Linked DNA regions of Saccharomyces cerevisiae S288C. Changing the gene in region 4 together with the main gene of any one other region gives a genetic interaction. Each region holds a gene or a part of one and is shown on either strand. Other genes may lie near its edges. The genes, in order: CUE1, SSM4, MSC7 and ERG25.

Region 1 (2,756 bases), on a different chromosome or scaffold from region 4:
CATCAAGAAACAGTATTCAGGCGATTTTGCCGACTGGCAAGGCACACAAGCAAGCCCATCTCTATACACGATGTAAAGTGCCACGGGAAACTAAACGATATCTGCAATGAAGAGCTCTTGACGTATCACTCTGTCAAGATATGTTTACATTCGTACACAGGCTCCAAGGAAACGCTTCTGGGCCAATGGCTCAAGAAGTTTCCCCCGGATCGTATTTTTGTGAGCCTATCCAAATGGATTAATTTTAAGGACCCAGAAGAGGGAGATGCCCTGGTCAGGAGCTTGCCCTCAACTTGCATACTTACTGAAACCGACTATCCTATTGACAATCCAGATCCGTCATACCAAAAGGCCCTTACAGAGCAGCTGCAGTATTTGAATGCACAAATCGCACGAGCATGGGACGAGACACTGGATGCCTCACAAGCCGCTTTGCGTGTATACGAAAACTTTCAGAAATTTATCAAGTGAAACGCTTTTGAGGTGGCAGCATAGCACTGTAATGAGATATATTAAGTAGGCTTGCTGTATACCATTTCTTGCTATGCATGTGTTTTAGCAAGGCAACGCCGTTCCGGAAGGGAAAAAGCGCTCTTTTTTATATACTGTGAAATTTTCAGATTTTAACTTAGAAATTATATAAAAGCGGTTGTGTATCTATTGTGATAATGCAATTCCTTTATAGTTTAGCAAATCGAAGGATAGGTATATACTGAGTAGTAATGGCTAGGCCAGTTAATACAAACGCTGAAACGGAATCGAGAGGCAGACCCACTCAGGGTGGTGGTTACGCAAGTAACAACAATGGCAGCTGTAACAACAACAATGGCAGCAATAATAACAATAATAACAATAATAATAATAATAATAACAGCAATAACAGCAATAACAATAACGGGCCTACCTCCAGCGGGAGAACCAATGGGAAGCAAAGACTCACAGCTGCACAACAGCAGTACATTAAGAATCTCATAGAGACACATATCACCGACAACCACCCTGATCTGCGCCCCAAGAGTCACCCAATGGATTTCGAAGAGTATACGGATGCGTTCCTGAGAAGGTATAAAGACCACTTTCAATTGGACGTACCGGACAACCTGACGCTGCAGGGATACTTATTGGGTTCCAAATTGGGCGCGAAGACTTATTCATACAAGAGGAACACACAGGGGCAGCACGATAAAAGGATACATAAGAGAGACCTGGCCAACGTGGTGAGAAGGCATTTCGATGAGCATTCCATTAAAGAGACAGATTGCATACCGCAATTTATATACAAGGTAAAAAACCAGAAGAAGAAATTCAAGATGGAATTTCGGGGTTGATCAAACGATGAGGCAGCCCTTTTGTGTATAAGTTATGTAAACTTTTAAGGTGGTAATTGTTAAAATGGACAGTAACACTTGTTTATTTGCTAGTATTCCATTTAGTTTAATGCCTTTTTGTATACGGTGCGGGTAGCTGTCGCGCCATTTTAAACGATCTAATATAACTGAGGTGGGCCTGTCATTGATGCATTGAATAGACAACTCATCAACCTATTTCTTATAAAAGGCGCCATAAAGCATTACAATCTACGATCGCGCAAACTTTTTTCTTTTGGCCATGGAGGATTCGAGATTGCTTATCACTTTGATTCTTGTGTTTGGAGTTATATTTCTGAAAAAATTCTTCCAAAGTAATCAGCATCCCTCAGCACAACGCTTATCCGCTACAGGTGTAAACGCACACGGACGTCCTCAGGGCTCCACGCAGAATGCCTTGAGAAGGACTGGTAGAGTCAATGGAGGTCACCCCGTGACTACTCAGATGGTGGAAACAGTGCAAAATCTAGCCCCTAACTTACATCCTGAGCAAATTAGGTATAGTTTGGAAAACACAGGCTCAGTCGAGGAAACAGTGGAAAGGTACTTGCGTGGTGATGAATTCAGCTTTCCACCTGGGTTTGAGCCCTCCAGGGCGCCAATGGGGGCCAATGCGGCTGTTGATAATAACGCTGCTGGTGGCGGAGAGTTTAACGATCCCAGAAAGAAGAACATGATTTGCGCTGAGAATCTACTCGATAAATTCCATGTGGATCTCAATGAAGATATGAGTAACTTAAGCTTTAAGGACTTAGACATTGAAGAGAGAAAGAGATTGTTGGTTTGGCAAGCCAGAAAGAATTTGGAGACAAAATTGCAAAGTGATAAAGATTTGCAAAGTTTGCTGACTTGAACGCTTAAGTGCTTGTCGGGAACACGCAAGTGTGCCCATAATGCGCATAAGTATATCTTTGTGTTTACTTATTTAAAATGACTAAATAAATAACCCAAAAAAAGGAAGAAAAAAATGTAATTATTAAGCATTGGAACACGGTATTGCTGCCAACTTGGCAAATCGCCCGAAAAATGCCTTTATTGGTATTGTATTGTCTAACGGAACCCAGTGAATATCTTCCTTGCAGTTTATTAGACGCTCTGTTACCACTTCTAAATCTTCAATTCGGTCTCTTTTGTAAAAATGACCAGTGACTATATATTCTGGAAAGAGAGTGAAAGTGTATCTGTTTGGTTCGGGTGTGGCTTTGAAATAAACCTCCAATGGCTTTCTTCTGTTGTGGTGGGCCGACGCGATGACGGCAAGGTCTGTGACTTGGAAGTGTACGATGCACTTCCCAGGCTGTTCCAGATAAAAAATTTGTGAAATATGCTGTACTTTCTTCTCAGAATCAAACGTGCGAGTGTCATTGTTTGACCATACCTTAGCGATTT
Region 2 (6,066 bases), on a different chromosome or scaffold from region 4:
AATATCATGAATGCGCAAATAAGCCCTTTTTGCTGCAGCAAACTTTATGTACCAAGATCTTAAAGGGACTCGTTACCAAGATGCGAGTGAGTAGTCTATTATTAGAGAGTAGATCAGCTTCCGCCGCTTCCTTTTTTAACGGGAAAAAAAGTAGAAGCTGGGACAACTTTTTCGCTGCCAATAATAATTAAAAAGAAGGACCCTTTTTTCATTATAGGTATATTTGTTAAATATTTCCATTCCTAAGACAATCAACAACGCAGTTATGCAAACCATCAAAGAGGGCAAATGAACTATTCCCGCTCTTCGTAAGGATGCTGTATTACCGCCGTTAGCCATCAGAATTACTATAAAAACAATGCGGTTAATTTTCATTGCGAAAATGCTTCAATATTCATTTCTACCATTTTCCCCGTTCAATCTTTTGAATTTTGATAATAGTATAAGCGTAAGCTGGTTTATAACATACTCAGTGATCGTTTCCATTTGGGGGTTTGCTGTGTGGATTGAAGGAGCATATAGGAATAAGATTAATCTACAGCTTCCAAGATGTACGAAGATAAAATGCTCCCGCTACAATACGAGAATAAAATCCCCCAAGTGGTTCAACTGTAAAAATTGGATGCATTTTTTCCTATTATACCTTTTTCTAACCGCTTCTAACTTAATTGTTCAATTGGCCTATTTTTCAAAAGAAATGTGTAGTCAGGGTATAAACGTTCCTGGAACGAAGAAACCAGGTAATAGAGTTTATTTATCGGTTATCATACTAATGGGGAACGGGTGATAGAACTTTTACCAATGAAAAGAAATCAGCAGGCCATAATTTGGCTTTATTAAAATTAATAACATTATGGTGCTGTTGCGTTTATTAAAACAGACTAAAGCTGTTGGAATGAAATTCTAATGTTATCTATTTAGTAGTAATAGCATCACATGCGGTGTAAGAGGATGGCGTAAATTATGAGAAGCTGTCATCGAGGTTAGAGGAAGCTGAAATACAAAAATTGATAATGTAATAGGAGAATGAAACATATAAAACGGAATGAGGAATAATCGTAATATTAGTATATAGAAATATAGATTCCATTATGAGGATTCCTAGATCCTCGAGGAGAACTTCTAGTATATTCCGTATACATAATATTATAAGCCTTTATCAACAATGGAACCCCCAACAATTATCTCAAAATTCACCCATATCTTAATTAGTAACATGAATAGTACTAAACAGATGATATTTTAAAGTTTCATTCCAACAAGCATCTTAAATGTGCTATTACTTCCTAAAATAAGTAGTTTTTCCAACGAAATAGCCTTGTTGGCGCAATCGGTAGCGCGTATGACTCTTAATCATAAGGTTAGGGGTTCGAGCCCCCTACAGGGCTATCTTTTTACCATTTTCAATTCAATAGAAAAATTAAATCATTAGAGACGGAAAACTGGTTGAAAACGCATCGATTGAGGACATTGAAAAGATGATTATGACCGATCTATGAAGCCATAAGATTACGTTAAGAATAGTTCTTTGTTACTGATTTCAAAAACTGTTTTTTTAGCCAAGAGTACCACTAATTGAATCAAAGAGACTAGAAGTGTGAAAGTCATGGATGTTGATTCTGACGTTAATGTCTCCAGGTTAAGAGATGAACTGCATAAGGTGGCAAACGAGGAAACAGATACCGCCACTTTCAATGATGATGCGCCATCCGGCGCCACCTGCCGTATTTGTCGTGGAGAAGCTACTGAGGACAATCCTCTTTTCCATCCTTGTAAATGCAGGGGCTCAATTAAATACATGCATGAATCCTGTCTGTTGGAATGGGTAGCTTCAAAAAATATAGACATTTCAAAACCAGGCGCGGATGTTAAATGTGACATCTGTCACTATCCCATTCAATTCAAAACGATATATGCGGAAAACATGCCCGAAAAGATACCTTTTTCTTTACTACTATCCAAGAGCATCTTGACATTTTTCGAAAAAGCTCGTTTGGCTTTAACGATTGGTTTGGCCGCTGTACTATATATTATCGGTGTTCCTTTGGTATGGAACATGTTTGGAAAATTATACACCATGATGCTAGATGGATCATCCCCTTATCCTGGTGATTTCCTAAAGAGTTTGATTTATGGTTATGATCAGTCAGCAACTCCAGAATTAACCACGAGAGCAATTTTTTACCAACTTTTACAAAACCATTCGTTTACGTCTTTACAATTTATTATGATAGTGATACTACATATAGCATTGTACTTTCAATACGATATGATAGTAAGAGAGGATGTTTTCAGTAAAATGGTTTTCCACAAGATAGGTCCAAGATTATCTCCCAAGGACTTGAAATCACGTTTGAAGGAAAGATTCCCCATGATGGATGATAGAATGGTTGAATATTTAGCGAGGGAAATGAGAGCTCATGACGAAAATCGTCAAGAGCAAGGTCATGATAGACTGAACATGCCAGCCGCAGCAGCAGATAATAATAATAATGTTATTAATCCCAGAAACGATAACGTTCCACCTCAGGATCCTAATGACCATCGGAATTTTGAAAACCTTCGCCACGTAGACGAATTAGATCATGATGAGGCTACGGAAGAGCACGAGAACAACGACTCTGACAATAGTTTACCATCAGGTGATGATTCGTCACGAATTTTACCGGGGTCTTCAAGTGACAACGAAGAAGATGAAGAAGCAGAGGGGCAACAGCAACAGCAGCAACCAGAAGAAGAGGCAGATTACCGTGATCATATAGAGCCCAATCCGATTGACATGTGGGCAAATCGTCGTGCGCAAAATGAATTTGATGACCTAATCGCTGCTCAACAGAACGCAATAAACAGGCCCAACGCTCCGGTTTTCATCCCACCACCTGCCCAAAACAGAGCTGGAAATGTCGATCAAGACGAACAAGACTTTGGCGCAGCTGTTGGTGTGCCACCAGCACAGGCTAACCCAGACGATCAAGGACAAGGCCCTCTAGTGATAAATCTCAAATTGAAATTGTTGAATGTCATTGCTTATTTCATAATTGCCGTAGTTTTCACCGCAATATACCTGGCAATTTCCTATTTGTTTCCAACTTTTATTGGGTTCGGTTTGTTGAAAATTTATTTTGGTATATTTAAGGTTATTTTGCGTGGGTTGTGCCATCTTTACTACTTGTCTGGCGCTCATATAGCTTACAATGGGCTGACGAAACTGGTCCCTAAAGTAGATGTCGCGATGAGTTGGATTTCAGACCACTTAATTCATGACATCATTTATCTTTACAACGGCTACACTGAAAACACCATGAAGCACTCAATTTTCATCAGAGCTTTACCTGCTTTAACGACGTATCTAACCTCAGTCAGTATCGTTTGTGCTTCATCCAATCTTGTCTCGAGGGGTTATGGCCGTGAGAACGGAATGAGCAACCCTACTAGAAGGCTGATTTTCCAGATTTTATTTGCACTCAAATGCACTTTCAAGGTGTTCACTTTATTTTTCATCGAATTGGCTGGATTCCCCATTCTAGCTGGTGTAATGCTAGATTTCTCATTATTTTGCCCAATCCTGGCATCCAATAGTCGGATGCTTTGGGTTCCTTCAATATGCGCAATATGGCCTCCATTTTCCCTTTTCGTATACTGGACGATTGGTACTCTCTACATGTATTGGTTTGCCAAATATATCGGAATGATTAGGAAAAATATCATTAGACCAGGTGTTCTATTCTTTATCAGATCTCCAGAAGATCCTAATATTAAGATCTTGCATGATAGTTTAATTCATCCGATGAGTATTCAATTATCAAGGCTTTGCTTATCCATGTTTATTTATGCGATTTTTATTGTCTTAGGTTTTGGCTTCCATACTAGAATTTTTTTCCCATTCATGCTCAAATCGAACTTATTATCCGTTCCTGAAGCTTATAAACCAACATCAATTATTTCATGGAAGTTCAATACAATTTTGCTAACTTTATATTTTACGAAGAGGATCCTGGAGTCTAGCTCTTACGTTAAACCCTTATTGGAAAGGTATTGGAAAACAATTTTTAAGTTATGTTCAAGAAAATTACGTTTATCATCCTTTATCTTAGGTAAAGATACCCCAACAGAGAGAGGCCATATTGTTTACCGCAATTTGTTTTACAAGTACATTGCTGCCAAGAATGCAGAATGGTCAAACCAAGAACTTTTCACTAAACCAAAGACTCTAGAACAAGCAGAAGAATTGTTTGGGCAAGTTCGTGACGTTCATGCTTATTTTGTCCCCGATGGCGTTTTAATGCGTGTTCCTTCTTCTGATATAGTATCCAGAAATTATGTACAAACAATGTTTGTCCCCGTTACAAAGGATGATAAGCTGTTGAAACCATTAGATTTGGAAAGAATTAAAGAGAGAAACAAACGTGCTGCTGGTGAATTTGGTTATTTAGACGAACAAAACACGGAATATGATCAATATTATATCGTTTACGTCCCTCCAGATTTCCGTTTACGCTATATGACATTGCTTGGCCTGGTTTGGTTATTTGCTTCCATTTTAATGCTTGGTGTTACATTTATTAGTCAAGCTTTAATAAACTTTGTTTGTAGTTTCGGCTTTCTTCCAGTCGTAAAGCTATTGTTAGGTGAAAGAAATAAGGTCTATGTTGCATGGAAGGAACTCTCTGACATTAGCTACTCCTATTTGAACATTTATTATGTCTGTGTCGGATCTGTTTGTTTATCCAAGATTGCTAAGGATATTCTTCATTTTACAGAAGGCCAAAACACTCTCGATGAACATGCCGTTGACGAAAACGAAGTAGAGGAAGTGGAACACGATATACCAGAGAGAGATATCAACAATGCCCCTGTTAATAATATCAATAATGTGGAAGAGGGTCAAGGAATTTTCATGGCCATCTTTAACAGTATATTTGATAGTATGTTGGTGAAGTATAACCTGATGGTGTTTATAGCTATCATGATTGCGGTTATTAGAACTATGGTTTCGTGGGTCGTCTTAACCGATGGTATACTAGCCTGTTACAATTATCTCACCATCAGAGTGTTTGGCAATTCTTCATACACTATTGGTAATTCCAAATGGTTTAAATATGACGAGAGTTTGTTATTCGTCGTTTGGATCATTTCGTCAATGGTCAATTTCGGAACCGGATATAAGTCATTGAAACTATTTTTCAGAAACAGAAATACTAGTAAATTGAACTTCTTGAAAACAATGGCTTTGGAACTGTTTAAACAAGGTTTCCTGCACATGGTAATTTACGTCTTGCCGATTATTATTTTATCCTTAGTATTTTTACGTGATGTTTCTACAAAGCAGATTATCGATATTAGCCATGGATCCAGGAGTTTCACTTTATCGCTTAACGAATCATTCCCAACATGGACAAGGATGCAAGATATTTATTTCGGACTACTGATAGCATTAGAGTCATTTACGTTCTTTTTCCAAGCAACTGTGCTGTTCATTCAATGGTTCAAAAGTACTGTACAGAATGTAAAAGACGAGGTTTACACTAAGGGTAGAGCTTTAGAAAATTTACCAGATGAAAGTTAAAGGCGTTTTCTTCCTTACATTTAAAATGAATGCTAGCATATTTACATATATATATCTACATTAAGTTATATGTTTTTCCACTGTTTTATTTCTTATTGTTAGAATTATAGAAAAAAAATTTTTGTAAAACATTTCATTAGAAAAATTTACCATTCTGAATACGAAAGAACAAAATAAAAAATATGCCTATTTATGTGAGTATGTATATTACTAGTTATTTTATTGCTGTTACTATTATTATGCGAGAATGTTAAAAAAATAAAAATAAAGAGGAAAAGAATAAAAAATATAAAACTATGCGTGCGAGTGCTTTCAAGGGTCTTCATCTTCCAAGAGTATAGGATTATCTCTGCCCTCATCCCAAACAGAATCTTGAGACTGGTTATTTTCATCTCCATAATTAGAGAGAAGTTGTGCATTTGATCCCTTGCTTGTCGCGCTGGTTCTTGGAATACCCCTAGTTGGACTACTAAATGCCACATCATCAATATCAACCAACT
Region 3 (4,020 bases), on a different chromosome or scaffold from region 4:
ACAGTTCACCCCCCTCCTAATTATCCTCTGACACTCCGTGCTATCACGATCATCCTCATCTATATCGTATCTTCTCTTCTTGAAATTAGAGTTGTGGCCGCCCACAGGCCCCAGAACCCGCTTGTTCTTCATTCTAGCATCCATCTTTTGTACATGCACCATTCGCTTCAACTGCGTCAGATAGTTGTAGTCCCTCTGGACATAAGCATTTCGTTCGTGCTTGTCGTCGTCCGCCTGTTTCAACGCCTCACTCGATATATACTCCTTAGGATCATGTGTTTGACCTGAGCAATTGTCCCTTGTCTTGTGCTTCTTGGAACACTCCAAAGAGCAAGTTTGCACCAAACATCTTGGACACTTGTATTTGAACTCTTTTATTCCGCATACACCACACAACACCGCCATACTTGCAAATTGCCACACCCTTCCCTATTAACTGGACTCCTATTCCAGCTCATCTCATCGAATATGAACTTTGACATCCACTATTATTACCGCGAATTTTTTTTTTTTTCAATTTGTTACCCTGCCTTGGGTATCAAAAATTTCATCTCTAAAAGGGAGCGTGATAGATAAAGCAATCACACCTTAAACAATACATTTTTTTTTTTCCTGCAATCTCCAAAGTGTGCAAGGTATACAAAGCAGAATGGTATGTGCCATTACATTACGTGTCAACACTTCTGTCTCTAACAAGCGTTCTTACTAACATGAAAAACTTTTTTAAAACTGTGCTCTCTTGTTGGACTGGTACCTCGTGACAAAGGTATTGGTTTTTTCATTGTTGCTCAGAACTATGTAATATTCTCTTTAGTCCCAAAAAAACGGAATTGCCACCCTACTACAAGCTGAAAAGGAAGCCCACGAAATAGTATCAAAGGCTAGAAAGTACAGACAAGATAAGTTGAAGCAAGCCAAGACTGATGCAGCCAAGGAAATCGACTCATACAAAATTCAAAAAGACAAGGAATTGAAGGAGTTTGAACAAAAGAATGCCGGTGGTGTTGGTGAATTGGAAAAGAAAGCAGAGGCTGGTGTGCAAGGTGAATTAGCTGAGATTAAGAAAATTGCAGAGAAGAAAAAGGATGACGTTGTCAAAATTTTGATCGAGACTGTCATCAAGCCTTCTGCTGAAGTCCATATCAATGCCTTGTAATATTGCATTACATTCTAGTTTTCTAATCATATATCTTTTTATAATATAATACCAATAGAATAAAAATGTATAAACTGACATTGCATTCGGTCTTTACGACTCTCGCTTTATCCATTCAGCCTTTTTTTTTTTTTTTTTTTTTTCTCTATCTGCTAAACGAGTAGTAGTATAATCAAAAATGTGTTATTTAGTATATCGGTTGTAAAGGAGAAAGTATGGTCTCTCTATTTTTATTTTATTAACGAAAAATACTAAACGCCGATGGGGATTACTATATAATTATAATAGTATTTGCAGAATAGTAGAATTCTTTTCACAGTTCACGTTCAGTTTCTCCTCTGTTTTATCGAACGTTTATTCATCATGTCCAAGGTCTATCTGAATTCAGACATGATTAACCATTTGAACTCCACAGTTCAAGCTTACTTTAACTTATGGTTGGAGAAGCAAAACGCAATAATGCGTTCTCAACCCCAAATTATTCAAGATAACCAAAAACTGATAGGCATTACAACGCTAGTTGCCTCAATTTTCACTCTGTATGTTTTGGTCAAGATAATCTCCACCCCAGCAAAGTGTTCCTCGTCCTATAAGCCAGTCAAATTCTCCCTTCCTGCACCAGAGGCCGCTCAAAATAATTGGAAGGGCAAGAGGTCTGTTTCCACTAACATATGGAATCCTGAAGAACCAAACTTTATTCAATGTCATTGTCCCGCCACAGGTCAATATCTAGGTTCTTTTCCATCGAAAACGGAAGCTGACATAGATGAAATGGTTTCTAAGGCAGGCAAAGCTCAATCTACTTGGGGCAATTCTGATTTCTCAAGAAGATTGAGAGTTTTGGCTTCTTTGCATGATTATATTCTAAATAATCAAGATCTTATTGCGAGAGTAGCGTGCAGGGATTCAGGAAAGACAATGTTAGACGCATCGATGGGTGAAATCTTGGTTACTTTAGAAAAAATTCAATGGACTATAAAGCACGGCCAAAGAGCGTTGCAACCTTCGAGACGTCCGGGCCCCACTAATTTTTTCATGAAGTGGTATAAAGGTGCAGAAATCCGTTATGAACCACTGGGTGTGATCAGTTCTATCGTTTCCTGGAACTATCCATTCCATAACTTATTGGGTCCAATTATTGCAGCATTGTTCACAGGGAATGCCATTGTAGTAAAATGTTCAGAACAAGTTGTCTGGTCTTCGGAATTTTTCGTCGAGCTGATCCGCAAATGTTTGGAAGCTTGTGATGAAGATCCAGATTTGGTTCAGTTGTGCTATTGTTTACCTCCAACTGAAAATGATGATTCCGCAAATTATTTCACCTCTCATCCTGGTTTCAAACATATCACTTTTATTGGCAGTCAGCCCGTAGCGCACTATATTCTAAAATGCGCTGCCAAATCATTGACACCCGTAGTTGTGGAGCTTGGTGGTAAGGATGCGTTTATTGTCCTAGACTCAGCTAAGAATTTAGATGCTTTATCTTCTATCATCATGAGGGGTACTTTCCAATCATCCGGTCAAAATTGTATTGGTATTGAGAGGGTTATTGTCAGTAAGGAAAATTATGATGATTTAGTCAAGATTTTGAATGACCGTATGACTGCAAATCCACTACGCCAAGGGTCTGATATTGATCATTTAGAAAATGTTGATATGGGGGCAATGATATCTGACAACAGATTCGATGAACTAGAAGCTTTGGTTAAAGATGCTGTTGCAAAGGGAGCTCGTTTACTTCAAGGTGGTTCCCGCTTCAAACATCCAAAGTATCCACAAGGTCATTATTTCCAACCAACTCTTTTGGTGGATGTCACTCCAGAAATGAAAATAGCACAAAACGAAGTGTTTGGCCCAATTTTAGTCATGATGAAAGCTAAGAATACTGACCATTGTGTACAACTAGCCAACTCTGCGCCATTTGGTCTAGGTGGTTCTGTGTTTGGTGCGGATATCAAGGAATGCAATTACGTCGCAAATAGCCTACAAACTGGTAATGTAGCCATTAATGATTTTGCTACATTCTATGTTTGTCAATTACCATTTGGTGGTATCAATGGTTCAGGTTACGGTAAATTTGGTGGTGAAGAAGGTCTTTTGGGTTTGTGCAATGCCAAAAGTGTCTGTTTTGATACTTTGCCTTTTGTCTCCACTCAAATTCCAAAACCATTAGACTACCCTATTCGTAACAATGCTAAGGCTTGGAATTTTGTAAAGAGTTTCATCGTAGGAGCTTATACAAATTCCACATGGCAAAGAATAAAGTCACTGTTCTCTTTAGCTAAAGAAGCCAGCTAGTTTACTTTAGAGGAAGCAACAAACTTATCAATAATTTGGTATTTATTATTATATAAAATGAACTTTTTATGTACAAGATTTATGATTTTTTGATTCTATACACGTTACGAAATTCCTCATTTTACAATGCTTTTTTCAACTTTCTGGAATTGGTCATGAAGCTTGTTCACGTAATCCTTATGCAGTTTTTCCAAATCCCTCTCAGCTTTTCGAACGGCATCATCCTTTTTGAAACTTTTGAATTCCTTTAGAATACTGCCTCTGATAGTTCCTAATGAGTCTTTTAGCGATGACTGCTTATATTCTTCAAATACTCTCTTTAAGTCTTTAGCTACTTTTAACCGGGATTCTGTAGTTGGTGGTGGTAACGAAACTTTCAATTGCAAATCGTTATTTGGGACCCTTTCAGGAGTTAAATTCAGGTTCGCAGCAAGCACCCCACTGATCACAGTTTTCACATCTTTGGGGTCGAAAACTGTTATTAAAAGTGCATTTTTACCTTTCAAGGATGTGGTAGCAATATCTGTAAACTTTCTGTTATTTTTGAACACTAAACTATTGAATAC
Region 4 (3,425 bases):
AAATGCAGATCTGAAATGCTAAGAACTAGGCTATTAAAGGCCAGAGATTGCTTAACAACGAAAAGTGTTGACATAACGGAAGAACAAAGGAAATTTTTGGAGGAAGAAATGAACTTCGATGAAATCGAGGAAAACAAACTCAAAAATTACAAGTGCTATGAAATAATTAATAAAACGGTCATGGATAAGGTGGCTACAGAATGGGATCCTGAATTTATAACTAGACAATTAGAAGCTAAGAAAAAATTCAACGAGCTGTCCAACAGAGAAATTTCAAAATTTCGAGACTGGAAAAAGAGCCTATTCATGGAACAAGAGAATTTTAACCAAGAGATTGAACAATTGAATCACAAGTTGGAAAACTTACAACTGGAATGTCAGGACTTGGAATACAAGCTGTTAATCGGAAAAAGTTCCAACAGCCATTCCACAGATAGTGCTACTTTAGTAAACGTTCACATCAAAAGGTAGTATTAATTAAAAAAAAAAAAAAGCCAATAATTTCGCGCAAGCTTTGCTCTACATAATAAAAATACAATTAGGATAGAAATGAATATTTTTTTAGCGGCAGTTTTACCATAAGTAGCAAAACCCTAACAATACAATGTGAGACTAAAGTAAATCCGGGTAATACAAAATACAATTTTTTTTTATTCTTCACAGCGTTTTTTCGACGGAGGAGGGAAAAAAAAAAATTGTATTTAAGGCATCAAATGCGCGACATCATATACCTTTGTCCGCTGTTATCATACCTTGAACCTCTACATTTCAGCCTAGCGCGCGCAAAAAGAAAAAAAAATCATAAGCAAGAGTGGTACGGTAACCACAAGGCAATGCAAAGAAGGGTGCGATATCAAGTGATGTTACCTTCCTTTACTTTTTGCCTTTTTCTTGAATTGTCAATCCGCCCTTTTTTTCTTTTCAGTTTTTTCTCCTTTCATCCGTCTCGTTTATCATAATGATGATTTCACTTATACCTATATGTTTTTTCTGGCATCTCTAATGTTAGGATGTGAAGTTTAAGTACTCTCCATTCAATGAATACAATTTTTGACAATATCTGATTTTACTATGATTAAACAGACCGAGGGAGAAAAAAAAAAGGAACTAAAAAAGGGCCTACGTAGAAGATGATGTAAAAGTAGATTCGCATCTGAGAATGTTTTCTTCAAATTTTTCTTTTCGGCCTTGGCGCAGAAGACTTTCTCTTCGTCCGCGTCGTATAGGAAACAAAAAAGTGTAAAAAGTAAAAATCGGTATATTACGCAATCCATTCGTTACCCGGTGTAGTCACGTGCGGGTGCGGAGGGCAGCCGTTTAAACCCGTTTGGGCCTTGGTCCGATAGAACCATCTCGCAGGAAAGAGCAGAGCCAGTTATCGGGTGTCGTTTACGCCCAGATGTCGTTTAGCCAGCTCCGCAACGGCCACTGCCACTACCACTGCCTCCCTTCGTATACGGGACACAGAGATCGTATACGGTAAACGACTAGCACTAGGACAATAGCAACTAACAATGACCGATAACAGTCAGCAACCTCAAGGCACCTGGCACAAAACCGTCGAGGAAGAGGCCCTTTGCCACCGTATCGCATCGCTTTCCCACCAATTTTTTTTTTCTTGCTTGCCTCGCCTCTGCTGTGGTCGTATTATTATTATTCATTCTCTGCGCAGTTTAAACTATATACACACGATTAATCCGTTATGCATGTACATTTTCTTGTATGCGTACGCCTGTGTATGCATACTTCTATATAATATATAATACAGGAGGATCTATTCTTTTTTTTCTTCTTCTCTTCTTCTCTCCCTTTTTTCTCTCTCTTCGTTTCTTTCCTTCCAGTAAATCTTTATATTAGTTGTAACTTTTTCTCTTTAGATAGTAGCATAGAGGACTAAGGAAAAGTAGTACAGCCATAAAAAAAAGAGGAAAAGATGTCTGCCGTTTTCAACAACGCTACCCTTTCAGGTCTAGTCCAAGCAAGCACCTACTCACAAACTTTGCAAAATGTCGCCCATTACCAACCTCAATTGAATTTCATGGAGAAATACTGGGCCGCATGGTACAGTTACATGAACAATGATGTTTTGGCCACCGGTCTAATGTTCTTTTTATTGCATGAATTTATGTATTTCTTTAGATGTTTGCCATGGTTCATCATCGACCAAATTCCATACTTTAGAAGATGGAAGTTACAACCAACTAAGATTCCAAGTGCTAAGGAACAACTATACTGTTTGAAATCCGTTCTTCTATCTCATTTCTTGGTCGAGGCCATCCCTATCTGGACCTTCCACCCAATGTGTGAAAAATTAGGTATTACTGTCGAAGTTCCATTCCCATCTTTGAAAACAATGGCTCTAGAAATTGGTCTATTCTTCGTCTTGGAAGATACATGGCATTACTGGGCTCACCGTCTATTCCACTACGGTGTCTTCTACAAGTACATTCACAAGCAACATCACAGATACGCTGCTCCATTCGGTCTTTCTGCTGAATATGCTCATCCTGCTGAAACTTTGTCTTTGGGTTTTGGTACCGTTGGTATGCCAATTCTTTACGTCATGTACACTGGTAAATTACACTTGTTCACTCTATGTGTATGGATCACCCTAAGATTATTCCAAGCTGTTGACTCTCATTCTGGTTATGACTTCCCATGGTCTTTGAACAAGATCATGCCATTCTGGGCTGGCGCTGAACACCACGATTTGCATCATCACTACTTTATTGGTAACTACGCTTCCTCTTTCAGATGGTGGGATTACTGTCTAGACACTGAATCTGGTCCAGAAGCTAAGGCCTCCAGAGAAGAAAGAATGAAGAAGAGAGCTGAAAACAATGCTCAAAAGAAGACTAACTAAGAGAAGAAACATACTTCAAAAAAAAAAAAAAGAAAAACAACAAAAAAACGTATAAAATGAAATAAATTTCGAACCGCTTTTTTTCCTTTTTTTTTTTTTTACTTTGTTTGACCTCCCCTAACTCTTTCTTTTTACCTTCACAATTGTTTATTTTAATATATGATTTTTAAATTAATTCAGGTTAATTCTAAAAACTATATTGCAATCTTTTAAATATATGTATACACGTTCATTACCACGTATACATATCCATATATATATATATATATATACATACTATTTATGATAAATTTTTAACAAGCAAACCCATTATTAAATGCTATAAATAAAAGACAGCTTCTTTCTAATTATTATTCAAACTTAAAAACTACATATACAAAAACTACAAAAATCTTTCAACCGACCCATCTTCTGGCAGATCTGAATAATCTAATCCATGGACCGTATCCACCCCACTCTTCGTATTTGCCCTCTGGATACCAGGAATTGGCCTCCAATCTGCAAACTCTTTCAGGATGTGGCATCATGGCAAGCACTCTACCATTTGGTGACTTGATACCGG

The links.
Region 1: mutations in ERG25 (region 4) and CUE1 together harm fitness more than expected from each alone (negative genetic interaction), as found in Saccharomyces cerevisiae (4 studies listed by BioGRID).
Region 2: mutations in ERG25 (region 4) and SSM4 together harm fitness more than expected from each alone (negative genetic interaction), as found in Saccharomyces cerevisiae (4 studies listed by BioGRID).
Region 3: mutations in ERG25 (region 4) and MSC7 together harm fitness more than expected from each alone (negative genetic interaction), as found in Saccharomyces cerevisiae (3 studies listed by BioGRID).

What each region holds. Positions count from the first base shown.
Region 1 is NC_001145.3:794,197-796,952, forward strand, and holds CUE1 (Cue1p), read left to right. Parts: upstream 1-1,608; coding exon 1,609-2,220; downstream 2,221-2,756. Other genes in the region: YMR262W (putative endodeoxyribonuclease), read left to right, coding at 1-471; SAP30 (Sap30p), read left to right, coding at 723-1,328; YMR265C (uncharacterized protein), read right to left, coding at 2,344-2,756. UniProt on the Saccharomyces cerevisiae protein: Component of the endoplasmic reticulum-associated protein degradation (ERAD) pathway.
Region 2 is NC_001141.2:295,550-301,615, reverse strand, and holds SSM4 (E3 ubiquitin-protein ligase SSM4), read left to right. Parts: upstream 1-1,606; coding exon 1,607-5,566; downstream 5,567-6,066. Other genes in the region: EMA17 (Ema17p), read left to right, coding at 359-787; SUMO protease ULP2, read right to left, coding at 5,879-6,066. UniProt on the Saccharomyces cerevisiae protein: E3 ubiquitin-protein ligase which accepts ubiquitin specifically from endoplasmic reticulum-associated UBC6 and UBC7 E2 ligases, and transfers it to substrates promoting their degradation.
Region 3 is NC_001140.6:184,309-188,328, reverse strand, and holds MSC7 (meiotic recombination directing protein), read left to right. Parts: upstream 1-1,519; coding exon 1,520-3,454; downstream 3,455-4,020. Other genes in the region: BCD1 (Bcd1p), read right to left, coding at 1-405; VMA10 (H(+)-transporting V1 sector ATPase subunit G), read left to right, coding at 650-652, 815-1,156; RRF1 (Rrf1p), read right to left, coding at 3,571-4,020.
Region 4 is NC_001139.9:608,631-612,055, forward strand, and holds ERG25 (methylsterol monooxygenase), read left to right. Parts: upstream 1-1,933; coding exon 1,934-2,863; downstream 2,864-3,425. Other genes in the region: septin SPR3, read left to right, coding at 1-471; ADE6 (phosphoribosylformylglycinamidine synthase), read right to left, coding at 3,259-3,425.